4 linked regions of the Macaca fascicularis genome follow. The protein of the gene in region 1 purifies or fractionates together with the protein of each later gene. This does not show direct contact. Links are inferred from orthologs where the notes say so. Each region holds a gene or a part of one and is shown on either strand. Other genes may lie near its edges. The genes, in order: PHF1, EED, EZH2 and EZH1.

Region 1 (5,711 bases):
TTTTCTAATCTTAGTTGTTCTGCATTGGTTAGTCATAATTTTTTTATGAAGACATTTGCCTTGCCATCTACTTGGTTTCTCTGAAATTCAGTTCATACAGGAAAAACAAGATAAATGCTGAATTATTTATTGATTTTCAGTATTGAGTTGATACCCTAGCAGCTTCCAAAGGTGACCAATGAATGTTTATCTGAGGGTTATCTTTATTTTTATCTTTATTTTTTTGAGACAGAGACGCTCTGTTGCCTAGACTGGAATTCAATGGCTCAATCATAGCTCACTGTAGCCACCAAAAGTGTTGGGATTACAGGCGTGAGCCACCCAGCCCAGCCACAGTCGTTCCTCTTTCTGATGCTCAAATTGCCCCATTTTGGGCCAATAGGAACCTCCTGGCCGGGTGCGGTGGCTCACGCCTGTAATCCCAACACTTTGGGAGGCCGAGGCGGGTGGATCACGAGCTCAGGAGATGGAGACCATCCTGGCGAACACGGTGAAACCCTGTCTCTACTAAAAATACAAAAAATTAGCCAGGTATGGTGGAGGGCGCCTGTAGTCCCAGCTACTCAGGAGTCTGAGGCAGGAGAATGGCATGAACCTGGGAGGCGGAGCTTGCAGTGAGCATCGAGATCGAGCCACTGCACTCCAGCCTGTGTGACAAAGCAAGACTGTCTCAAAAAAAAAAAAAAAGAACCTCCTTCAGGTTGGCGCCAGTGTCCTTTAGACAGAACTCAAGCAGTCTTTTCAGATTCAACTTGTACATTTCCTCCCCAGATTTCAACTGATCCATTTTCTAAGGAGTCCTAGTTCCTAAATGGGTGTTATTACTCTTTTATCTCGGTTTAAGTATTTTACAGTGAGAGAGGTTGGAGGTCTCTAGTACAGGGTATTGCTGGAAATGAAAGCCTCCTCTCTCTGCTCCTGTATTTTCTTCTGGGGCTTCTATCTCTTCTCAGGCCTTTTAACCTCCTCCAAACCGTGTGCAGAGGAGAACCAACCATAACTGGGACCAGCCTGAACCTGCCTTTGGAGGCCTTATTTCAGTATTTCTGAGGGCAGCCCTAGCATTGGAGGATGGAAGGAGATCTTGGGGAAAATGTATTGGTTACTCTGCAAACTTTTATCCTGTCTACCCCCAGGTGAACCAGTGTGTTATTGGTACTGCCCAGGCCAACAGGAAGTGAAGACGGATCCAGATCTTGTGTTGGGAGTGTGTGTGTGTGTCTGTATCTGTATGTGTATGTATTGGGTGAGGAGTGGGAGGGTTGCTGGAGGGTGCTTTATTGGGTAGAGGGCACCATGTCCCAGGGCTATCAAATAAAGAATAGTTTTTTTTTTTTTTTTAAATAAAGGTTTATCTGCCCAAGAAGGCAGATATTTTCATATCTGTAAAGGTGGGAGCTGTGATCTGTCCCCTCTGCCAAACGTTTGTGTGGGAGGCGGGAGCGGGGGCTGAGGGCTTGGGCTTTTCCTCTCCTTAGCTCTCACCGGTTCTGGACCATGGTCTGGATCATTTTCCCCTCTGCTAATACCCCCTCCCCCGTCCCTCACATCAGGGAGGCGTGCCCTCTAGCTATCCACACCCTCTCCTTGGTCACTAGTTATCTAGATAAGTTTCACCCTTCCGCCGGCCACCCCAGCCCCAGGGAGCAACGTTCCTTTGGTGGGTGTCGGCAAATGGGGACCGGACCCCGGAGTCCAGAGGCGGGGCTAGCGCGCGCTCCCAAACTGCTGGCTCTTTCCTCCCGCCCTTTCCCTGCCTTTCCGTTCGAACGGCTGGGGCTCTGCCCGCTCGTTGCCCATTGGCTGGCTCTCGGTGGCGTCACCGCCTCGGGTCCTTGCCCCCTTCGTCTTTGCGCCAGCCCTGGAAGCACGGGGCGGGACGTACCCGGGAAGCGGCGCGCACGCCCGCCGACTCCCTCTCGCCAACCGCCGACGGCCGCCGCCCCGTGAAGGAGGAGCTCAGTCCTCCCAGGTGCCGCGCGCAGGAGGGGACACGCGTGCGCAAAAGGGCGGCGGGTGGGGCGCGACTTGCCACGGGGAGGGCGGGGCTGGGGCTAACGGCGAGTGGAGGGCGGGGCGCGCGAGGGAGGAGGGCGTGGTGGGGGCATCGAGAAGGGTGAATGGAGGGCGGGGCCGTGAACTGGGGCCGGGGGGCGGGACTTGGAGTGACCATGGGGGGTGGGGCAGTTAACGGATGTGGCATGGGGCGGGGGACCAGTCCGGAGGCGCGCTGCCGGGAGGGGGGATTCCCTCGTGCCCCAAGGGCGAGTCTCAGGTCGGAGGAAGGGGCTGAGGGGATTCCCTCTCCCACCGGGTCCGACTGTTTGCTTCCCAAGCCGTGGAGGGCCTGCCTCTTCCTCGGCACCCTCCAGGCCTGTCGGAGGTGAGGGAGGTGGGGTGAGGTGGTGCCCGCCCCCCCCTCCGGCTCCTCCTTCCCCCCAGTCCTCCCCTCCCACCACCCTCCCCCCCAACCGGTCCGTCCCTCCCCTCCCTCCCCCCCGCCGCCTCCTCCTCCTGCCGCTGCTGCTGCTTTGGCTGCTGCGTCATACGCCCCAGAGCCGCCGGGACGGAGGGGCTGGGCCTGGGGACCCCCCGGCCTCCGCCTGCACAACCCCCCCACGCCCGGACGTGCCCTCTCCGCGCGGGGGACTCGCCTAGGTCTCCTACGTCTGCCCCTGCCCGGCTCCTGGCGGCCCCAGCTGTCACCGGTAAGGAGGCGGCAGGAGGCGCCGGTGGGGGGCAGGGAGCCGGGGGTCGGCGCGGGGCGCGGGCGGGAGAGCCTCGCCGCCTTGGCCTCGGGTCCGAGCTGGGCCGACTCAAGTCCCTTCTCGGACTTGCGGTCCTGGGGAGTGGAGACCAGGACTGGGACACGCCCCCCTCCCGGGGCACTCGGAGAAGTTGTCTAACCCGGGGGCAGGGAGCCCCGAATTTGAGGGTGACCTGACATAACCTGGCACCAGGATGATTGTTCTTAATGAGACACGCAGGCCTGGGGAGACAGCCGTTTCTGCTCTGGAAAACATCTCCAGAAAAGGTCCCAAAACACATCTCTGGGCAACAGGACACCCTAATTATGATACCTCTAAACTGAGTGGTAGCCTTTGCTTCTACAACCGTAATTTCTCCTAAAATTTCAAGGCCAGGATATAATATCCCAGGAGAGCTCTGGAAGCTGGGAAACTAGCAACTAGGTTTGGGGTTGGGGGGAGGGCAGTTACCGTGAGGAGAGCCAGTCACTAGAGTTGAAAGAGGACTCAAGAAGCTGGTGATGGGTGCCTGGTGGTTTCCTATCCAGGTGTCTCAGGGATTTGGAGATGGGGGCACAGATCCTTCATTCTTGACGGCAAAATAGGCAAAGAAAATGGGGAAGTTGGCCGGGCGCGGTGGCTCACGCCTGTAATCCCAACACTTTGGGAAGCTGAGGTGGGTGGATCATGAGGTCAGGAGTTCGAGACCAGTTTGGCCAACATGGCCAACACCCCCTCTCTACTAAAAATACAAAAAATAGCCAGGCGTGGTGGTGGGTAGACCTTTAATCCCACCTACTTGGGAGGCTGAGGCAGGAGAATTGCCTGAACCCAGGAGGTGATGGTTGCAGTGAGCCAAGATTGTCCAGCCTGGGCGACAGAGCAAAACTCCATCTCAGAAAAAAAAAATGGGGAAGCTTTCTGAGCATTCATAACCTTCTCCTCCCCATTTCTTTTCTGGCTAGGCCCCCCCAGGATGCAATGGCGCAGCCCCCCCGGCTGAGCCGCTCTGGTACCTCCTCACTTTGGGACCCAGCTTCTCCTGCTCCCACCTCTGGCCCCAGGCCTCGACTTTGGGAGGGTCAAGATGTGCTGGCCAGATGGACTGATGGGCTGCTATACTTGGGTACCATCAAAAAGGTAAGACCTACTTCTGATCTTTTTCCTATTTCCCTTATCTAATTCTGGTTCCCATTTCATTCTCTTTGCTCACCCATTCCAGGTGGACAGTGCTAGAGAGGTGTGTCTGGTCCAGTTTGAGGATGATTCGCAGTTTCTGGTTCTATGGAAAGACATTAGCCCTGGTAAGACTAGAGACCTGAGATTGCACATCCCATGGAAAACAAACCTGGCTTAGAGGGGCAGAAAGAGACTTAAGGGCAGGCCCCGTGACACTGTGTTCTCTCACAGCTGCCCTCCCTGGGGAGGAACTCCTCTGTTGTGTCTGTCGCTCTGAGACTGTGGTCCCTGGGAACCGGCTGGTCAGCTGTGAGAAGTGTCGCCATGGTGAGAGGGCAGGTCACCTGAATGGTCTAGCTTGCTCTTCCCTCCAGGATGGTCCTTATGTCACCTGTCGTGGCCTTAGTCCCCAAGCCACTGCTCTGGCCAGGCTGCTTAGCCCTATCTTAGTCCTCATCCCCTTTCAGCCCAGGGAGAAGCAGCCATGGAAAGGGGTGGTGTAACCTTTGCAAGCAGAGGATGATTTAACTGCATCCTTTTCTAACCATATGACCTTGGACAAGTCCCTTAACCTCTAGGAGCCTCAGTTCCCTGACTCGTAAAATAAGGATCATGTACCCTCTCATCAAGAACATGGTCAAGGATTAAATGAGATGGGTAAAGACTATTCCTGTCCCAATACCAAGCACACACAGGTATGCAATTAGTGGTCTACTATTAACATTATCACTCTTCAGCTTATCACCAGGACTGCCATGTTCCCAGGGCCCCAGCCCCTGGAGAGGGAGAGGGCACATCCTGGGTATGCCGCCAGTGTGTCTTTGCGATCGCCACCAAGGTAAAGGCACTTCCCTGTTACCCCTTCCTGTGAGAGCCTCCCATCCACATCCTCTCCCAAGCCTTTTCCTCTCCCCACCCCTCTGAAGTCATCCACCTGTCCTGTCTCTGCAGAGGGGAGGTGCCCTGAAGAAGGGCCCCTATGCCCGGGCCATGCTGGGTATGAAGCTCTCTCTGCCATATGGACTGAAGGGGCTGGACTGGGATGCTGGACATCTGAGCAACCGACAGCAGAGTTACTGTTACTGTGGTGGCCCTGGGGAGTGAGTAATGAGGGGGAGCAGACTGTGGAATGAATGATGTGGTGGTGCCTCCCAGGAAATGAAGGAAAAAGAACAGGATGAGGGTAGCACTCAGGGGGATGGGAGGTAAGTTTAGGGTTTGGGGCAGTTATGGGGAAGGGGGTTTCTGGAGGCCAGAAGTCCTATGTTCCCCCTCAGGTGGAACCTGAAAATGCTGCAGTGCCGGAGCTGCCTGCAGTGGTTCCATGAGGCCTGCACCCAGTGTCTGAGCAAGCCCCTCCTCTATGGGGACAGGTGAGACCAAGGCAGACTCTCCAGAAGCCAAGGTGTTCTCTTCGTGCTCCACCCTCAGTTCCCATGCCTGTCTCCACTCCAGTCTCTTCCCAATATCTGCAGCATTACCTCACCTGTTTGCCCCATCCTTGCTTGTGAGTCCTCCAGGGGATGGCATAGTTTTCCTGCGTAAGTGTGTGTTCTCCCTCTTGCCCACGTCCAGGTTCTATGAATTTGAATGCTGTGTGTGTCGTGGAGGCCCTGAGAAAGTCCGGAGACTACAGCTTCGCTGGTGAGCTGGCTTGGGCATGACCTCAGTGTAACTCCACACCCCTAGTATTTTACTCTGTATGCCCCAGCCTCGCACCTCAGGACTCCCCTGGCTCTTAAAATGCCTCTGTGGTCTTGGAAATTTTGTTTTTCCAGGGTGGAT
Region 2 (5,729 bases), on another chromosome or scaffold:
CTCCTATTGTGATAGTCTTGACATCTATCAAAATAGTCCTGAATTAAGTGTTCCTTACTATTTTAACAAGTGTCAGAATATTTTTTCTTTAATGTAGTAACAATAATGTAGTAATATAAACTAATTTCCATTTATCACCCAATTCATCAGAAACATTTTTAAAACGGTTTTTTAAACATTCAAGTTTTAATAAGCCTCTTTAAAATATTTTTGCTTTGTTACAGATAATATGAATGCTGTAAGGCATTTTTCTACCATATGTGTCCTTTATCCAAATGTTCAGCACTTTTCTAATTTTATGACTAGACGTTGACTCCCACTTCCCAGCTCCCACTAATCTCTCACACACGGAGTAATTTTAATTTGAAATGCTGTAGTTGATTATCCTTTACTTGTAGAACTATATTTCAGAAACATCCTTCCTTTTATTGGAAAGATGTTCTCAACAAAGGGAAGGATGTTTCTGTCTGCTGATGAAAATGTCATACCAAAGCACATCTTACTTTCTCAGGAGCTTACTCTACTCTACTCTCATCTCTTCCTCACCAACTGAGGAGTGCTTAGTAGTGCCTGGAACATTGGAAGTGCTGAACAAATGACTGCAGTCATTGAAACCTCAACTTTAATTTTTTTCAGCTTCATTTCAAAGTCTTCACTGCAAAAACCTCTTATTCTGACCTGCCGTTGCTTTACTTCCTTTTCTCATTCTCAACCAAGAGTTGTCTCTTTATCTGCAAAAGAAAGAGTGACTTGCAATCTGCAGATAAGGAAACTGATGTCCTGGTTATAAAGTTATCATGCAGAAATAATTCATGTATACTGGAATTTTATGGATGGTGCACTCTAGGTGGGTAATGACATCTAAAAGAGAAAAGATATACAACATCAAGTAGGTGCCCAAGAAATGGTAGGTCCCTGCCTACCTCCTCATTTTTACAGATGAGGACATTTTTACAGAAGCCCGAATAGATAAGTAGTCACAATCATGTTCTAAGAAAAAAAAAAAAAAGGGTGGCGGATGCCGTATTTTATTTTTCATCATTCTCCGTTTCCTGCTGCTCATTCAGTTATGGTTTCATGGCCCATATAATAATTCCACAAGGCTCACCAATGTTATCTGCCACCTGGTAGAGAATAGATATAGTAACAGAGGCAAATATTTTGGTGAAGTATAACAGTTGTGTTGCCTTCTAGAATTTCATTGTATCTAATGTGCAAAAACAAACAAAACATTGTCGGTTAAGTCTCACAGTCTCATAATAGTTGGAGATGAGCACTGATTCTTAGGCCTTGGCGCAGTTCAGGGCCTATCATACTTTAGCAGCTAAAAAGAGCACTTCGGCTGTAACTCATTGGAATCTAGCTTCGTAATTTTCGGATATTTCTATTTAAGTCTTAACCATTAATGGCAGCAACTGGGAAGGATAATCATTCATTACAATAAATAGTCAATAGAATAAATATCCGACAAGAATTTATGAAACGTCTAGAGTATAATCTGCAGCGCTTTGAAATCCACCCTGGGATTCGGAAACCGGGGAGAAAACTACCTGGTTCAGCAAACGAGAATTCAAACAGAGGAGGGGCTTGGAGGAGGCGGGTCTCCACGAACCCAGCGCAAGAGTACGCCACGGCGCCTGCGCATCCCCTGAAGGGTACTTTCCATTCGCCAGATGGGGGAAGTCAGGGGGAAGCAGGTTACTGTTTTTGTATTTCTATCTTCAAGGAAGAATTAGATTATGAATAGTTCTGTGAATTGTCAGGAAGCGCTATCATCCAAGTCCAAGATTAAGGAAACGTGGCATGCACAGCTAAAGCAAGAGGTGACGTCTTGTATCTTCCCCCATTTCCTGGGACATTGGTGGTGTAGCCCATTCCACAGACTTTCGCTCCCTAGCAGCGGGTCGGAGATCGAAGGAACGGGCCAATTGCGGCTGAAACGTCTTTGGAAGGAGGAAGGGGGTGAGGGAGCATCCCTTTGAGTTTCGCCTCTTCCCGAGGCGGTGGTGGGAAGGGAGACATACTTAATACTGCCCTCTTAATCCAACGGATCTTACATCGTGTAGACTGCCGGGAGGGCGGCGGGAAAAGGGCAAGACGGGAATTGGGGAAGGGAACGAGCCAGGAAGCCGCGCGGGAGGGCGCGCGCGCGCGCCCCTTTTTCAGCAGTGTGGCGGGGTCGCACGCACGCCCGCCTCGGCGGCTGGGCGCGATTTGCGACAGTGGGGGGGGCGGTGGAGGTGGCGGCGGCAGCGGCAACTTTGCGGCAAGCTCGGGCCGGGCTTGCTTGACGGCGGTGTGGCGGAGGCCCCGCCCCAGGCGGCAGGAACCTGGAGGGAGGCGGAGGAATATGTCCGAGAGGGAAGTGTCGACTGCGCCGGCGGGAACAGACATGCCTGCGGCGAAGAAGCAGAAGCTGAGCAGTGACGAGAACAGCAACCCAGACCTCTCTGGAGACGAGAATGTAAGTGCAGCTCCTGGCAGTTAAGAGACTCCGGAGTAAAAGTTTTAAATTCTTTTAAAACGGGGGGCGCGGGGACGAGCGGGCTGCTGTGGGGGGAGGGAGAGGTGTCACTCAGGAAAACGCGGGCGTGCGGGAGAAAATCGAAATTGTCTACGGGGATTTTGATGTGGGGCCGAGAGCAGACAGAAACTAGGCGAAGGAGAGTGGTTCTAGTGTTTGCCTGGGTCTGAGAGGACTGCCCTGAAATCAGTTTGCTTGTGATGGGGAGTGTTTTGGCCTTTGGGGAGATTTAAGGGGAGAGTGCGGGTCTGAGATTCTAATAGTTTAAAAGGCAAGTTAGAGACTTTTCTAAGAAAGTTGGAAGGATGGGGCAGAGTTAGAGACCCTGTTAAAGGAGCGTTAAGGGTTGTCACTCTAAGACCCTTGTGGAATTTTCAGGTTGGAAAGAGATCTTCGATTTGCGGAGTTTGGGGGACTTTATTAAAGGGGGTTTTGTGTCCGCCTCCGTCCTGTCCGCGGAGACCGGGTGCGCCTGAAGGTCGCCTTTTCTGTAGGAGGAGCCGAATTGAGAGGATCGATTTTTGATTTGGGGGTGGGGAGTGACTACTTTTGAGGAAGGAGTAAGAGTGGGCGATTTCTTCTTTGAACGTTTTTACTTAAGATAAAGGGGGGGGGGGCGACCTGGAAGAATTTAGGCAACAGTGGTATAGGCAGATGGGCTATGTATTTAAGGATGGGCTCCTGGCTTCGCCAAGTGCGAGATGTTTTACAATCAGATTTTTTTTAAGTTCTGAAATGGATATTCGTAATCATTCGGTACCAACATTTAACCCAACTGGGTTTTAGTTGACTCACCAGTAAGAGCCGAATTGACATAAATAAGCTTTCAGTTTCATGTTTTAGGTTGATAACCAGTAGGGTCAACGAAATATCTTGACAATTTATTCAAAGATATTACTCCAAAAGGTGATTCTCCTTCTCATGATATATGACAACTTGTGACTATCTTAAAAATCCTTAAAATGTTTCAGAGAGTGGCGTTAAGTTCTTCATTTTCTCAGTTTGGCTAGTTTTAGGAATAAATGTTACATCTTCCACATTCAGTTTCTAAATTCTATGTCATAATTCCTAGCTGGAACATGTAATGGTGTCATGACTAAGATGGGAAAGGATTCTTTTTGCAGAGACAAGATAGATATTCTTGGGATTGTCAGTTTGTGGGATCTTAGACTTGAAATTTCAGGAAGCTTGGGTGTTAAGTGTTACTTTTGTATTTTTCCCCCGATTGTGCGCCCCAGTCTCCCTGTACATTGGGATCGAAGGTTTTTTACCCTCTTTTTATTATTTAGAGACCGTTCATTTTATTTCTGCATTTTCTTAAATTTCCCTAGGAAGATTAGAGAATTAAGAGCACAGATGCTGGATCCAAGTGATAGGTTAAAATTTCTGCTCTATTTTAATCTTGACCTTGAGCTTGACTGACATAATTGTCTTAGTTTCTTAAAAATGAGGATGGTGTTGTGTGGTATTTACCTCATAGAGTATTTGTAAGCATTAAATGAGTTAATATAGCTAAAGTACAAAGAAGAGTGTCTGCCCCATGGTAAGTACTATATACGTGTTATTTATTTATAATAATTACTACTACTTATTTATGATTACATAGAATAATATTTCTGGTCCTTCCACATACTTAATAATCAAGCAAAATATAATGAAACTGTCAAACCTGTTTAGAATGAAGAAACTTGCAGAAGACAAAATAAAGCTTATTTTCTTCTTGCAGACCCTTAAAGGAAAACATATTCTTTGTTGCCGTTTTAAAGCTGTTCAAGACCAAATGATTGGATTAGGTTTTGTTTTGGTTCCTCCGTTTGGATAGACTTAATTTTGTGTGTGTGTGTTTGTGTGCGCGCATCCCTTGGAAGCCTTAATCTTGTAGAGTCTTTTTTTTTTTTTTTTTTTGAGACGGAGTCTCGCTCTGTCACCCAGGCTGGAGTGCAGTGGCCGGATCTCAGCTCACTGCAAGCTCCGCCTCCCGGGTTCACGCCGTTCTCCTCCCTCAGCCTCCCGAGTAGCTGGGACTACAGGCACCCGCCACCGCGCCCGGCTAGTTTTTTGTATTTTTTAGTAGAGACGGGGTTTCACCGTTTTAGCCAGGATGGGAGTCTTTTCAAAATAACATTTTCAGATGTGTGAAATACAGGATATGAGGTTGCAAACAAATTCAGTTATAAAATTGTACACCATTTTATAAAATATTTCTAAAATTTTAGATGTAGCACTATACTATAGTTTATTAGCACATTAAGTAACAAGATCTAGCAGTGGGTCAGATAGTAGTAATGGGCATAAACACTTTTTCGAAGTATAATATAAAAATATTTGATTTCCATTGGTGACAGAGTCACAACTTCAGTAACATTAAGCATGTATGTTACCTAGATAATAATAGAAGGAAGTGCTAAATTTTAAAGGTGGCAAAAATTAAGATGCAAATTTTTTTCCCCATTTGAGTTCACATGCCTTCTGAATTTCATCCATGTACCCCTGACAGGGGCAGTAGTAAGGTAAGGGAGTAGAGAACATTGTATAAAAATGAGTTCAGAAAAAATAAGAGCAATAGTTTTACTCTTCAGGGCGCCAAATAATGGCAAAAGGCCAAAGCAGATGGGGGAAGAATATGTTTTTGAGTTAGAGTTAAGGTAACTTGAGCAGTTACTACTGGTAATGTGAGTCAGAGAATTATAGGCACATATTTTAAATTTATTGTGTATGTTATCTGCCATTTTATTGAACTTTTTGAGATCATATGACTGCAAAATAGTTGGCTTCTGCAAGAGTACTAATGGATGCCTTGGTAGTAAGATCAGAGGACTGAATCTAGAGACTTGTCTTTTTGCTTAAGCAAAAGCAGAGATGCAGGGCATCTCTGTGGCAAGATGCAGGTACAGATTACTGCCCTGTGTCTGTTTCCTCGTTGGGCAAGTGAAGATGGTAGTACCATGTCTGTTGCACAGTATCATTCTTTACTTTGAGAAGGGAATAGGATGGAAGTCAGCCTGTGCATACATTAGACACTCAGCAAAGACTTGATTTTAGTTTAAAGATAAAATGGAAGCATGTTGGCTGTATTACATTTTCATTTGATTCCATCTTGATTTGCCTTTGGAGGAGATGGGTAAATTAGGTGGTCAGAAGTAAAATAAGCAATGTGCCCTATTAACGAGTGTTTTGTGTGGCCTCTTTACACAATGTAAAGCTC
Region 3 (5,804 bases), on another chromosome or scaffold:
TGCCATAAACTGCCTTTTAAGCCTGGACGTCTGCATGTTTGTGGATTTGCATGCTTAGTAACTGGATTGTGCTGGGCGCGGGGGCTGACTCCTGCAGTCCCAGCACTTTGGGAGGCTGAGGCACGTGGATTGCTTGAGCTCAGGAGTTGGGAGACCAGCATGGGCAACATGGCGAGACCCCATTGCTACAAAAAATGCAAAAATTAGCCAGGCATGGTGGTGCATACCTGTAGTCCCAGCTACTTGGGAGCTGAGGGAGGAAGATCGCTTGAGCCTGGGAGGTTGAGGCTGCAGTGAGCCATATTTGTGCCACTGCTCTCCAGCCTGGGCAACAAAGTGAGACCCTGTCTCAGAGGAAAACAAAACAAAACAGGATTGCTTGGTTCTAGCCACATTCAGCTTTTCTCATCTATGGTCAGCAGGGAGAACAGGAGCTTTACCATAGAGTGTCCTGCTTAATCCACAACCTGGTTGATAAGGATGTAGAAACAACAGTGTCATTAGTTATTCACCTTCTAAATTGTTGAGTTACCGAAAAATCATAGGGCTAGCTTCAATTTGGAACCAACTCACCCCAATTTTTTTTTTTGAGATGGAGTTTCGCTCTTGTTGCCCAGGATGGAGTGCGATGGTGCGATCTTGGCCCCCTGCAACCTCCGCCTCCCAGGTTCAAGCGATTCTCCTGCCTCAGCCTCCCGAGTAGCTGGGATTACAGGCATGTGCCACCACGCTCAGCTGATTTTGTGTTTTTAGTAGAGATGGGGTTTCTCCATGTTGGTTAGGCTGGTCCTGAACTGCCGACCTCAGGTGATCTGCCTGCCTCAGCCTCCCAAAGTGCTGGGATTACAGGCGTGAGCCACTGCGGCCAACTTGTGTGTGTGTGTGTGTGTTTTTTTTTTTTTTTTTTTAAGCTCAGCGAGAAGACTTTGGTTCCTCACTTTCTCCAAGGATAATTACTTCAGGATGTGGAAATATTTCTGAGTTGGGGTCCTTAATATACAGTTATTCTTAGATTTATCAGTGTGCAGACTGAATGGGAAAGAGAACTTGGCTGTAGTGACCCTTTTTGTTTTCTTCCGAAGGTCCAGTATTCACTGTGTGTGCTTTTGCATGTGCTGTCAGACTTGATCACCTTTATCCAAAAGAATTTTCTCTTGTGTCTTTCTTTTTAGATTATTTCTCAAGATGAAGCTGACAGAAGAGGGAAAGTATATGATAAATACATGTGCAGCTTTCTGTTCAACTTGAACAATGGTATGTATCTGAGCTGGGAGGCAGTGAGTTCCTCTGAGTTGCATGTGGCAGCCTTCTGCCTGCCAAGTGTTCAGAAACGAGGGTGGAGGTCAGTGAGGTGACCAGAAGGAGGATCTCCTTAGAGGCATCGGGGGCTGCTTGCTTGAAAGGAACTGGAGCAAGGAATTCCTCAGGGAGCAGATGGACTAGGTGTGCAGGAAACCGCCTCTCTGAAGCCCTGGCCATCTGTGAGTGGCGCTGTACCAGTGTCTGGCTGTGACGGGGATGTTGTGCTCTTGCTGCCTCACCTCTTGTGTTCAGGCAGCTCAGCTCACCTCCTGCAGTCAGTGCCTCGGAGCTGGGAAGGAGGGGAGGAGCCAGACTCCCCTGGATATTCTCAAAGGACTGGGAGGAAAGGCAGTTGCTTTCATAGCTGATGTTCTGGGGTAGAATGTAAGTCTGTAGGGATATTTCTGGTGGGATTGTTCTGGTGGGAGGTTGGCTTAACATGTAAGATATTCAGAGAAACTCTTAGTTGGAACAAGTAGAATAGATTTTTTCTAGGAATGCTTTATAGACATTATAAAAAAAACTAATGTTAAATGAATTGATGTTCAGAAGAATTTTGTCAGATTCTTTTTAATTTTTTTTTTATTTTGCTTAGTAATGTATGTTTATAGTTGATAATTAATAGCTTTTGTGTCAGATAACCATCTTGAATTATAGGTGATTAATTTTAACCTGGAACAATAGTGTGTTCTTCCAAATGTCATTTCTTACTGAATGAAGTTGCTTGAATGATTTATTTGCTTTTGCAGGCAAACCCTGAAGAACTATAACCGGTTGCATTTACAGAATCATAATAACTTGATTTACTTATAACTGAAATTATTCACTGGGCTCATTTTCCTCTTTTTAGATTTTGTGGTGGATGCAACCCGCAAGGGTAACAAAATTCGTTTTGCAAATCATTCGGTAAATCCAAACTGCTATGCAAAAGGTAGGTATCTTTGACGTCAGAATTGGAACTCCCTTTTTAATCCTGTGATGATGGACTTGAATACTTCTGGGATAGTTGTTTGTTATGTGAACAAGTCAGTTAACCTCCCGTGGCCTGTCTTCATGCTCACTGACACCAGTGTGTCTCTTTCCAGTTATGATGGTTAACGGCGATCACAGGATAGGTATTTTTGCCAAGAGAGCCATCCAGACTGGTGAAGAGCTGTTTTTTGATTACAGGTTGGTAAAGTACATTTCTAACATGATCTCTAAGGGCTTTTTCTACTGGATCGTGAACGCTGGGCGAAGGATTTTTTTAGTTCTTTGCTAGATGTGCTGAGGGGTGGGGGTGAGTTGTTTTGACGGGTCACTTTGCCTTGAGCATTAGTGGGGAATTAGGTTATACTTTCCTGTTATGTATTCACGATCCATTTATTTATTATAAAAGTCATGCTTATTTTAAAAATAGAATCAAATCCATGCAGAAAGCCCCGTTTCTCACCCTGCTGTTGACAGCTGGGTGAGTCCTAGACCTTCTCATATCATGCCGCATGCTGCATGCTTGCTTGTGGAGCGTTTTTCCAGATAAGTGTGATCACACTGTCCTATAGATTTTTCTGCAACATGGTTTTACTTGACAATATACTATGTATATCTTTACTGATTAGATCTACTTAATTTATTGTTTGCTATAATACTTATTACACGTATCATTACCATTTTAAAAGGTGCTGTTGGCAAATCACTGTCTGGTCACCCTGTGGGGATGCCTGGGACATGTGGGCCACCGATGGTATCTGTGTGGTTAGGCATTAGGCTGCCAGTTGACACAGTCAAGCTCTGTGGGATACATTTAAGTCATCCATTGAATACAGATTTAGGTGCAGTCAGATGACTGTCTAGTTAATGAACTCCTGTGGTCCCATGTACATCCCATCCAGAAGCTGTCTTTGAGTACTGAGTTCTTGAATATTCAGGCTGGCCTTTAATGGCTGTTGCATAGCCGAGAGCTCTCAGTGAGGCAGACAGGGTCTGAGTGAAAGGCCTACTTTACTGAGGGCCGCTGCCTTCATTCCAGGCCGGCTCTGAATGAAGAGTGTGGGGTGGAGCTGGGGTTGGAGGCAAAGCCATCCAGTTTCCTTGGGAGGGCCTGGTGGCCCCACCCACTATTTCTGGGTGTCCACTGTACTCCAGTTCTTTCTTCACCTGGGGGAACAACTGGCGGGCTGCTCTTTGGCCCTCTTTGCCATGGTCATCGTTTTTTTCCAGACCATGGTTTTATTTTGCCTTTCCACCGTCGGACCTAAACATCATGATGTGGACCAGCCTTCCTGGGGCCACTTGCTTCAGAGGCATAGGGGAGGCTGGGCAAGCTCTGGAAATGCTTGTAGACAGGTTTGTTCAGTTCAGAACTTGGCAGCGTCTCACTTAGATGGCCAGCAACACAGACCTACGCATTGCCTTCTACGAGTGTGCCCTTATGCAGGCAGCTGTATAATTGGATGGTTTTTTGTTTTGTTTTGTTTTGTTTTAAGACATTTTAATGCACCCACTGTCTTCAGCAGGCTTTGTTGTGTTAAGTAAGTCTCAGCACATGTTGGATGGGTGGTCATCCAGCGGACTTCTGCTTCTTCCTGTTGTTTCAGATACAGCCAGGCTGATGCCCTGAAGTATGTCGGCATCGAAAGAGAAATGGAAATCCCTTGACATCTGCTACCTCCTCCCCCTCCTCTCTGAAACAGCTGCCTTAGCTTCAGGAACCTCGAGTACTGTGGGCAATTTAGAAAAAGAAAATGCAGTTTGAAATTCTGAATTTGCAAAGTACTGTAAGAATAATTTATAGTAATGAGTTTAAAAATCAACTTTTTATTGCCTTCTCACCAGCTGCAAAGTGTTTTGTACCAGTGAATTTTTGCAATAATGCAGTATGGTACATTTTTCAACTTTGAATAAAGAATACTTGAACTTGTCCTTGTTGAGTCATCTCTCATAACATGTCAATAACTGCTTTTAGTACTGCCCAACAAAAAACTTTTAAATTTACCTCCTTGAGTTTTTTAGTTGTCTTTGTATGAATCTTGATTTTAACTAATACTGCCTGGTAATATGTGGAAGACATTCATATATGAAGAACTGCTGTGCATCCTGAGGGCTGACCCAGTAAAGGGCTTGATTTTATAGACAAGACCAGGGTGGGTGGGTACGTTCCAGTCAGCTGTGCAAACTGGAGAAAGTGATTTAACCTCCAAGTCTGTTCCCCATATATAAACTGACAGAGTAGACTTAGCTTATTTTTAAGAACTCACCTAGTTCTAAATGCCGTTAGTCTAGATAGAGTTCTTTAGAAATACAATATAAGTTGGGATTCCTTACCTACCTACTGACAGGTATAACCAAACTAGTTTTATATCTTCTCAAAGAAGAGGTAAAAATCACAAACTCTAAGCATCAAGGAAACAACATGTGCCTTGCATGCCTTACCATGTGGTCGGTCTCAGAATTTGGGGGAATTTCTCTGCACCCTCCCCCGGTACATTCACCAGCAGCATCATGGGAACCCTCACAACCGCTGCAAACCAGACCACACTCAGTTACTTGGCAGTTGCCTTTTCTACAGTTAGATTTTATTTACAATGTGATAGTATTAATGTGAAACCTAATTAAATCGACTCATCTTGCTTTCCGGTTCCACAACATTTGCGAGATCAGGTCTCCATCACATCAGTGCACAGGCGCAGCAACTTGAGTCCTAAAGTTAATTTGCCACTTGATTTGGGATTGAGGAGACCCTCCCTCAGCCTCGTCCCATGGTTTCTTAATGACAGTGCTGATCTATTTTATGTCTACATAACTATCTCCACTCTCACCCAGAAAATGGTCCCATCCACTTAAGAGCTTGTTGCCCTCGATGCCCTCATGTTCCACTCTTGGCACTCAGCAGGACCCTGAGGCAGTTACTTCATTATTTGGGTTAGGTCATTCTCTAGATGGCTCAATGGCCTTGCTTAGGCACAGGTGAAATGGAGCCCATCTGCTCATCATTGCATGTAGGCCTGTTCATGAGACCCCAAAGATTACTTGGGCCCAAAAGTACCTGTTGACATGGCTCATTCCAGCCACAGCCCTCAACCCGTCCTCAGAGGAACAGCTGGGAAATGGATCCTTGAGGCCTCCAGTGAGCACAATGTACCAGAGCCCCAAAGGCATAGGAAAGACAAAGGGGCATGATGGAAAGCAGTAGTTTTTGAGCCCTGTCTGATGTATTCTCAATGCACAGCAAGCTTTTTGTACCATGATTTGAAATGTGCTTCTGTAAATGCCTCTTCAGTGACTTCCATGAACACAGATTTCTGAACAGAAATGCTTGACATAATAACCCATTTGATATAACCTATCAAGCTTGTCTGGCCTGTGGACGGCCGGTTGCATACAGCCCAACACAAATTCGTAAACTGTCTTAAAACATTGAGGTTTTTTGTGAATTTTTTTTTTTTTTTTTTTTAAAGACGGTATTTTGCTCTGTTACTACTCAGCCTGGAGTACAGTGGTGCAGTCTTGGCTCACTGCAACCT
Region 4 (5,196 bases), on another chromosome or scaffold:
CAGACACGGAGCCGTTCCAATAAAGCAGAGTGGCAGAGCCCCAGTCTGTGTGTGGTAGCTGGCGTCGTGGTTAGGGGATAAGTGGGATGATTTTAAGGGAACTAACCTGAGGGCTCAGGAATTTCTAGAAGGAGCTCTCAGAATCCTTGCATCACCTTCCAGGGGCTTGACTGGCTCTTGCCGGACCCCCCATCTCCCCCTTTGCCAGACCTCAGTGGGTAAGTGGGGATCAGAATGCTGATGCTTTGGCCCGACCTGCTCCTGGACCCCATCCCTGGATCCTTCCAGCCCCAAAGCACACAGTACACAGCTTGCCAAAATGGATTCTAACACTTTATTCAGATAAGAGGTCACAAGCCACAGGACTTTTAAAGTGCGTGAAATTTATTGGCAATGAAGCCGCATGTATACCAGGCTCCCCCAGTCCCCACCACCTTGCCCCATCCATCATGACGTGGTGGGGAGGGGTTGAGACCCATCTTTAAAAGTGGGGGACAGCAGGGACAAAGGACGGGAAACTGGAGGAACAGGAGTATTCATGAACTGAAGCTGGGACAGAAGGAGACTGACCACAGTGATTCTGCTCACTGAGGGAAGGGTAGGGTCAGTCTAGTCTCTCAAAGGCTGGTGAAAAGTTTTTTTTCACCTATTCCTCATGGCCAGCCCCTGGCATTTCAAACAGACCTAACTCCTCCTCTTCATCTTTCTCCGGTTTTCTCCTCTATGAGTAATTTGGAGCCCACAGTCCAGCTTGAGGGTATCCCTGATATGCACAATGAATACAAACCACGGCAGATGCAGATTTCAGGATCATGCTGGGGCCTGGCCTATTTGGGTGGGAAGAGCTTTCTGTCAGGATTTGCTGAGTGCGGGATGCATGTGTGCCCTCCAGTGTGGTGAGTGAGAGCGTGTGAGTGTGTGTGCATGTCTCACACCAAACCCTAAGAGGCAGCTGGGTCAGGGGGAACCCCACTTCTTCCTTCATGGGACAACCAGTGGAGTGGGAAGAAGTGGGGGCTGCGAGTCTCAGAAAGAAGGAAGAAGCCTGCTCCCTACTATAACACTCCCAGGCCAATCTACACCCGCCCACGCCCTTTCTACCCAGCACACTATTCCTTGTTCCCAGCCAGCCTGGCACACCTGCCATGGACACAGGGCAGCTCTTGCTGGCCCCATTCACATGAAATTCTGTGTGAAGCTCGCTCCTCTGCCTCTCCCAGGAGATGAGACAGGACTGGAAGAGAATCTCCCGCTCTCTCTTCTTCCCCCTCCCTCAGGAGTGGGATTTGGGCAGGGACCCTAGAGACCTTAGCCCAAACTCTACCCCAATCTATAGACCTTCTAAAATAAATGGTTAAAGTGCTTTGCTCTGCATGAATCCCAGAGAGGGTGGCACCACAGCCTGGAACAGGTGGTCTACCTGCTTCTTCTCCCACTTCACATACCCTCCACCAGTATGCCCTGCACACGGGATGCCAGCCTAAACACGTGCAATTTAGCCCCTCACCCAACTTGGAACACATATTCCAACTCACCCTTTCCAAACAGCAGGCACTACAGACAGGAAAGCAGATTACACCAATCTTTCTCCTCTCTAGTCCAGGCCTATGCCTGCCTACCCTGAAGAGATAAGCAACACTGGCCGTTGGGCCTTGCCTCTATGGGGAATGGAAGGCCTGAAAACACCTACAAATCCAGCGAGCCAGGGTGCTCACACCTGCCAGGCACACCCCTAATGCTTCTTCAATAGCAGCATAATGCCTGCCTGCAGCTGCTAAGCCAGAACTTTGGAGAGCTGGGCACTGGCGTCTGCTCCCAGGAATCTGAAAACACTTCTCCGTCTATCTCCAGAGTACACAGAGAAGGCTTTCTCAAAGCCTCCTGGGCCCAAGCATAGCAGTTTAACTACTATCATCTGGCTGGTTCTCCCTCTCTGGCCAAGGAAGGATGGCATAGCTTTCCTTCCCCAAGCCTCAAATGCCTGTATTTAGAACCCACACTCTTTCAGTTTGAGCCCTGCCACAAGGGAGGAGGTAGTAAGGTGACCCGTCTACCTCTGAGTTCAGTCTGTGCTGCCTGCCAGGCCTGCCTCTAACCCAGACCACTTGTAGGGTCCAGGGACCACGCTTCACTTAGCCTGTCCTCTCCAGGTCTTCGGATCACAGAGGTTTGCCTGCACCCCAATGACATAGGGACGCCTGATGGGGAAAGCTACAATTACAGGCTAGTGCTTGTGGGGAACTGCCTAAGTTGATTCCTGAGGCCCACAACCTGGGGAGCCGACACGAAATCACATATAAGTCATCTACTCCAGCCTGTGCTCACTTCCTCTGAGGCCAGAGAAAGTCTCCCATTTCTGCAACTCTCTCCTGGGAGACCAAGCCCTAGCTGCCTCTGTCTCCCCTCTCATTGAGACAGTTTTGTGCCCACTTGACATGGCAGAGGCCTCACTACAGAGGGAGTGGGTGGGGGGTTTCTCAGTGTGGGAGACACAGTGCAGGAGACTCGAGCAGCAGTGGTGTGAGCATGAAAGCCAAGACAGTGCCGCTACCATAAATGCTGCCATGGGGCCTGGGAGGGCTAAAGCACGTCGGTCTCCCTCTCGATCCCCACGTACTTGAGAGCATCAGCTTGGCTGTACCTGTCCCAGAGCAGGGAGGAGGAACCAGGTTACTCTCATGACTTTTGTGATTGAAAAGGCGGAGTCCCCTTCCGTTTCACTTCCCCTCCCACTCCTTAACGGCTGTTTACAATGGTCCCACTTCTGAGGCAAGGCACCAGATATCAGAACAAGGGACACAGCCTTGTTCACCGGAAGACTCTCCTCCATCCCCATTACCCTCCCTGAGCCTCCAAATCTATTCCAACGCCTCTCTTTCCAGTTCCGGGGCCACAACCCAAGGACCATTACTGGCACCTCACCTGTAATCAAAGAAGAGCTCTTCGCCAGCTTGAATTGCCCTCTTGGCAAAGATCCCAATCCGATGGTCTCCATTCACCATGACCACTGCAAGCAGGATAAACCCAAGGCTAGGTTCCTACCCAACTCCAAATCAATAACCAGTAGGCTTCTGGGTTGATTTTCTCCAAATTCCCAGTGAAAACATGAATCAAATGGAATTACGAAGTAGTCAATACGGTAGTTGCCTCTATGCTTTTAGATCTGTTATTATGGCAGAAAAATTATCTTTATTATTATTAGTGGGTTTTTTTTTTTTTTTGAGACAGAGTCTTGTTCTGTTGCCCAGGCTGGAGTGCCACGGCAACCTCTTGGCTCACTGCAACCTCCGCCTCCAGGGTTAAGTGATTCTTGTGCCTCAGCCACCTGAGTAGCTGGGACTACAGGTGCATACCACCACGCCCAGCTGATTTTTGTATTTTTAGTAGAGATGGGGTTTCACCATGTTGGCTAGGCTGGTCTTGAACTCCTGGCCTCAAGTCATCCACCTGCCTCGGCCTCCCAAAGTGCTGGGATTACAAGCGTGAGCCACTGCACCCAGCCTATTATTATTTGGTGAGGTGGGTCTCACTATGTTGCTCAGGCTGGTTAAATCATGTTTGTGGGAAAGTGTTTATAATGTATTCGCTGAAAAAAGCAGATTATAAAACTAAGATTGAGAGGGGCCTAAAATGATCCCAGACATTAATCATGATTATCTTTGGACAAAAAATAGCTCAGCTATGGAAGAGGTTCAACAACGGATGGAAATCACATTAAAGAGGCATCCATCGCCCGCCCCACCTCCCAGGTCACTGGGACTCACCTTTGGCATAACAGTTGGGATTCACTGAATGATTTGCAAATCGAATTTTGTTTCCTTTCCGAGTAGCATCCACTACAAAATCTGTATAAAGTAAAGTAAATCAAGGAAAACCATGAGCACGCTGGCAACTCCACAGCTTCTCAGCCTGAATTTAAAATCAATTAAATAGTAACAAACACTTTAGTCTGATGGGAATTTTGAAGCCCAGTGTGCTAACAGAAGCAGAGGAAAGCATGCAGCCTCAGAATTCAGCCTTGTGTGGGAGCTCTCCTTTTGGGTCCTCACTCTTTGAATTATGGATCTTCTCATCTACCGGGCAGGAAGATTTCTCAGGTAAAGGCGCTCAGTGCTCCTATTACGAACAGAACCCAGAAATGGAGGTTCTTCCAAAGCAAGGGCACTGTGGCCTGTGGGATCCCCAAGTATGATCCTGCCCCCTTGCTCTGTGCATCTGCTGGAAGATTTGGAGCTGATCTACACTTGGACTACAGCAAGGACGATCTGGTAGAAAGACCACCTTGGGGCTGGGCGCAGTGGCTCACTCCTGTAATCCCAGCACTTTGGCAGGCCAAGGCTGGTGGATCACTTGAGGCCAGGAGTTCGATACCAGCCTGGCCAACATGGTGAAATCCAGTCTCTACTAAAAATACAAAAAATTAGCTGGGCATGGTGGTGGGTGCTTATAGTCCCAGCTACTCAGGAGGCTGAGGCAGGAGAATCACTTGAACCCAGGAGGCAGAGGCTGCAGTGAGCCAAGATCGTGCCACTGCACTTCAGCCCGGGCAACAGAGCAAGACTCCGTCTCAAAAAAAAGGAAAAAAAAAAAAAAAGACTACCTTGGAACAAGACAAAGAGACTTCATACCATTATTGAGGTTGAAGAGGAAGCTGGACATGTATTTGTCATAGACCTTTCCGCGACGATCAGCCTCGTCCTGAGAAATGAGCTAGAGAGATAGACAAATAACAAATAGGAGTATCAGGCTGCCTGCTCAGGGCACGGTATCCTGTCCCCAGAAAGGGCTGGGTGGTATCTCACATGGGTGCTTACTGAGTATCACGATGCGAATCATAAGAGAGCAAGCTCAAGTTATGCTGTTCCAATTCCCACCCAGGCCAACTAGTTTGAAGGCTGAAGACAGCCCCTCATCTCGTGTCTGGAGTTGCCAAAGAGTTGAACAGTGGTTTCAGTACTGCAAACGGTTCTGTGGGATCTCCCCAAGAGGCCATGTGAGAACACAGCTGAGTTATTTAGAGATTAATTCAAAGAAGCCTGGCCCACAGAAAATCAGAGTTTCTCATCAGTCTCCCCCGAGTAAGAATGTGGGCCAAAACTATAGCACTCACCTCACCACAGTATTCAGAAATGAATTCATTCTTCTGCACAGACTCCTTTATGAAGGTGCCCCATCCAGCCACATCCGAGGGGGCCA

The links.
Region 2: the proteins of PHF1 (region 1) and EED purify together in Homo sapiens (affinity purification with mass spectrometry; 8 studies listed by BioGRID and IntAct, with this or other methods). This does not show direct contact. The link is inferred for Macaca fascicularis from reciprocal best matches to the Homo sapiens genes PHF1 and EED.
Region 3: the proteins of PHF1 (region 1) and EZH2 purify together in Homo sapiens (affinity purification with mass spectrometry; 15 studies listed by BioGRID and IntAct, with this or other methods). This does not show direct contact. The link is inferred for Macaca fascicularis from reciprocal best matches to the Homo sapiens genes PHF1 and EZH2.
Region 4: the proteins of PHF1 (region 1) and EZH1 purify together in Homo sapiens (affinity purification with mass spectrometry; 5 studies listed by BioGRID and IntAct, with this or other methods). This does not show direct contact. The link is inferred for Macaca fascicularis from reciprocal best matches to the Homo sapiens genes PHF1 and EZH1.

Annotation. Positions count from the first base shown.
Region 1 is NC_088378.1:138,279,840-138,285,550, reverse strand, and holds the start of PHF1 (PHD finger protein 1), read left to right. Parts: upstream 1-1,846; 5' UTR 1,847-2,708; intron 2,709-3,712; 5' UTR 3,713-3,728; coding exon 3,729-3,887; intron 3,888-3,969; coding exon 3,970-4,051; intron 4,052-4,157; coding exon 4,158-4,253; intron 4,254-4,393; exon of another isoform or gene 4,394-4,579; coding exon of another isoform or gene 4,580-4,583; intron 4,584-4,663; coding exon 4,664-4,764; intron 4,765-4,877; coding exon 4,878-5,026; intron 5,027-5,203; coding exon 5,204-5,299; intron 5,300-5,501; coding exon 5,502-5,570; intron 5,571-5,704; coding exon 5,705-5,711. Other genes in the region: kinesin-like protein KIFC1, read left to right, coding at 1,137-1,181. UniProt on the Homo sapiens protein: Polycomb group (PcG) that specifically binds histone H3 trimethylated at 'Lys-36' (H3K36me3) and recruits the PRC2 complex. Involved in DNA damage response and is recruited at double-strand breaks (DSBs).
Region 2 is NC_088388.1:85,288,096-85,293,824, forward strand, and holds the start of EED (polycomb protein EED), read left to right. Parts: upstream 1-1,909; 5' UTR 1,910-2,350; coding exon 2,351-2,464; intron 2,465-5,729. UniProt on the Homo sapiens protein: Polycomb group (PcG) protein. Component of the PRC2/EED-EZH2 complex, which methylates 'Lys-9' and 'Lys-27' of histone H3, leading to transcriptional repression of the affected target gene.
Region 3 is NC_088377.1:190,461,483-190,467,286, reverse strand, and holds the end of EZH2 (histone-lysine N-methyltransferase EZH2), read left to right. Parts: intron 1-1,172; coding exon 1,173-1,254; intron 1,255-2,152; coding exon 2,153-2,233; intron 2,234-2,387; coding exon 2,388-2,472; intron 2,473-3,878; coding exon 3,879-3,939; 3' UTR 3,940-4,203; downstream 4,204-5,804. UniProt on the Homo sapiens protein: Polycomb group (PcG) protein. Catalytic subunit of the PRC2/EED-EZH2 complex, which methylates 'Lys-9' (H3K9me) and 'Lys-27' (H3K27me) of histone H3, leading to transcriptional repression of the affected target gene.
Region 4 is NC_088390.1:63,757,525-63,762,720, forward strand, and holds the end of EZH1 (histone-lysine N-methyltransferase EZH1), read right to left. Parts: coding exon 5,111-5,196; intron 4,711-5,110; coding exon 4,629-4,710; intron 3,846-4,628; coding exon 3,765-3,845; intron 3,008-3,764; coding exon 2,923-3,007; intron 2,642-2,922; coding exon 2,581-2,641; 3' UTR 321-2,580; downstream 1-320.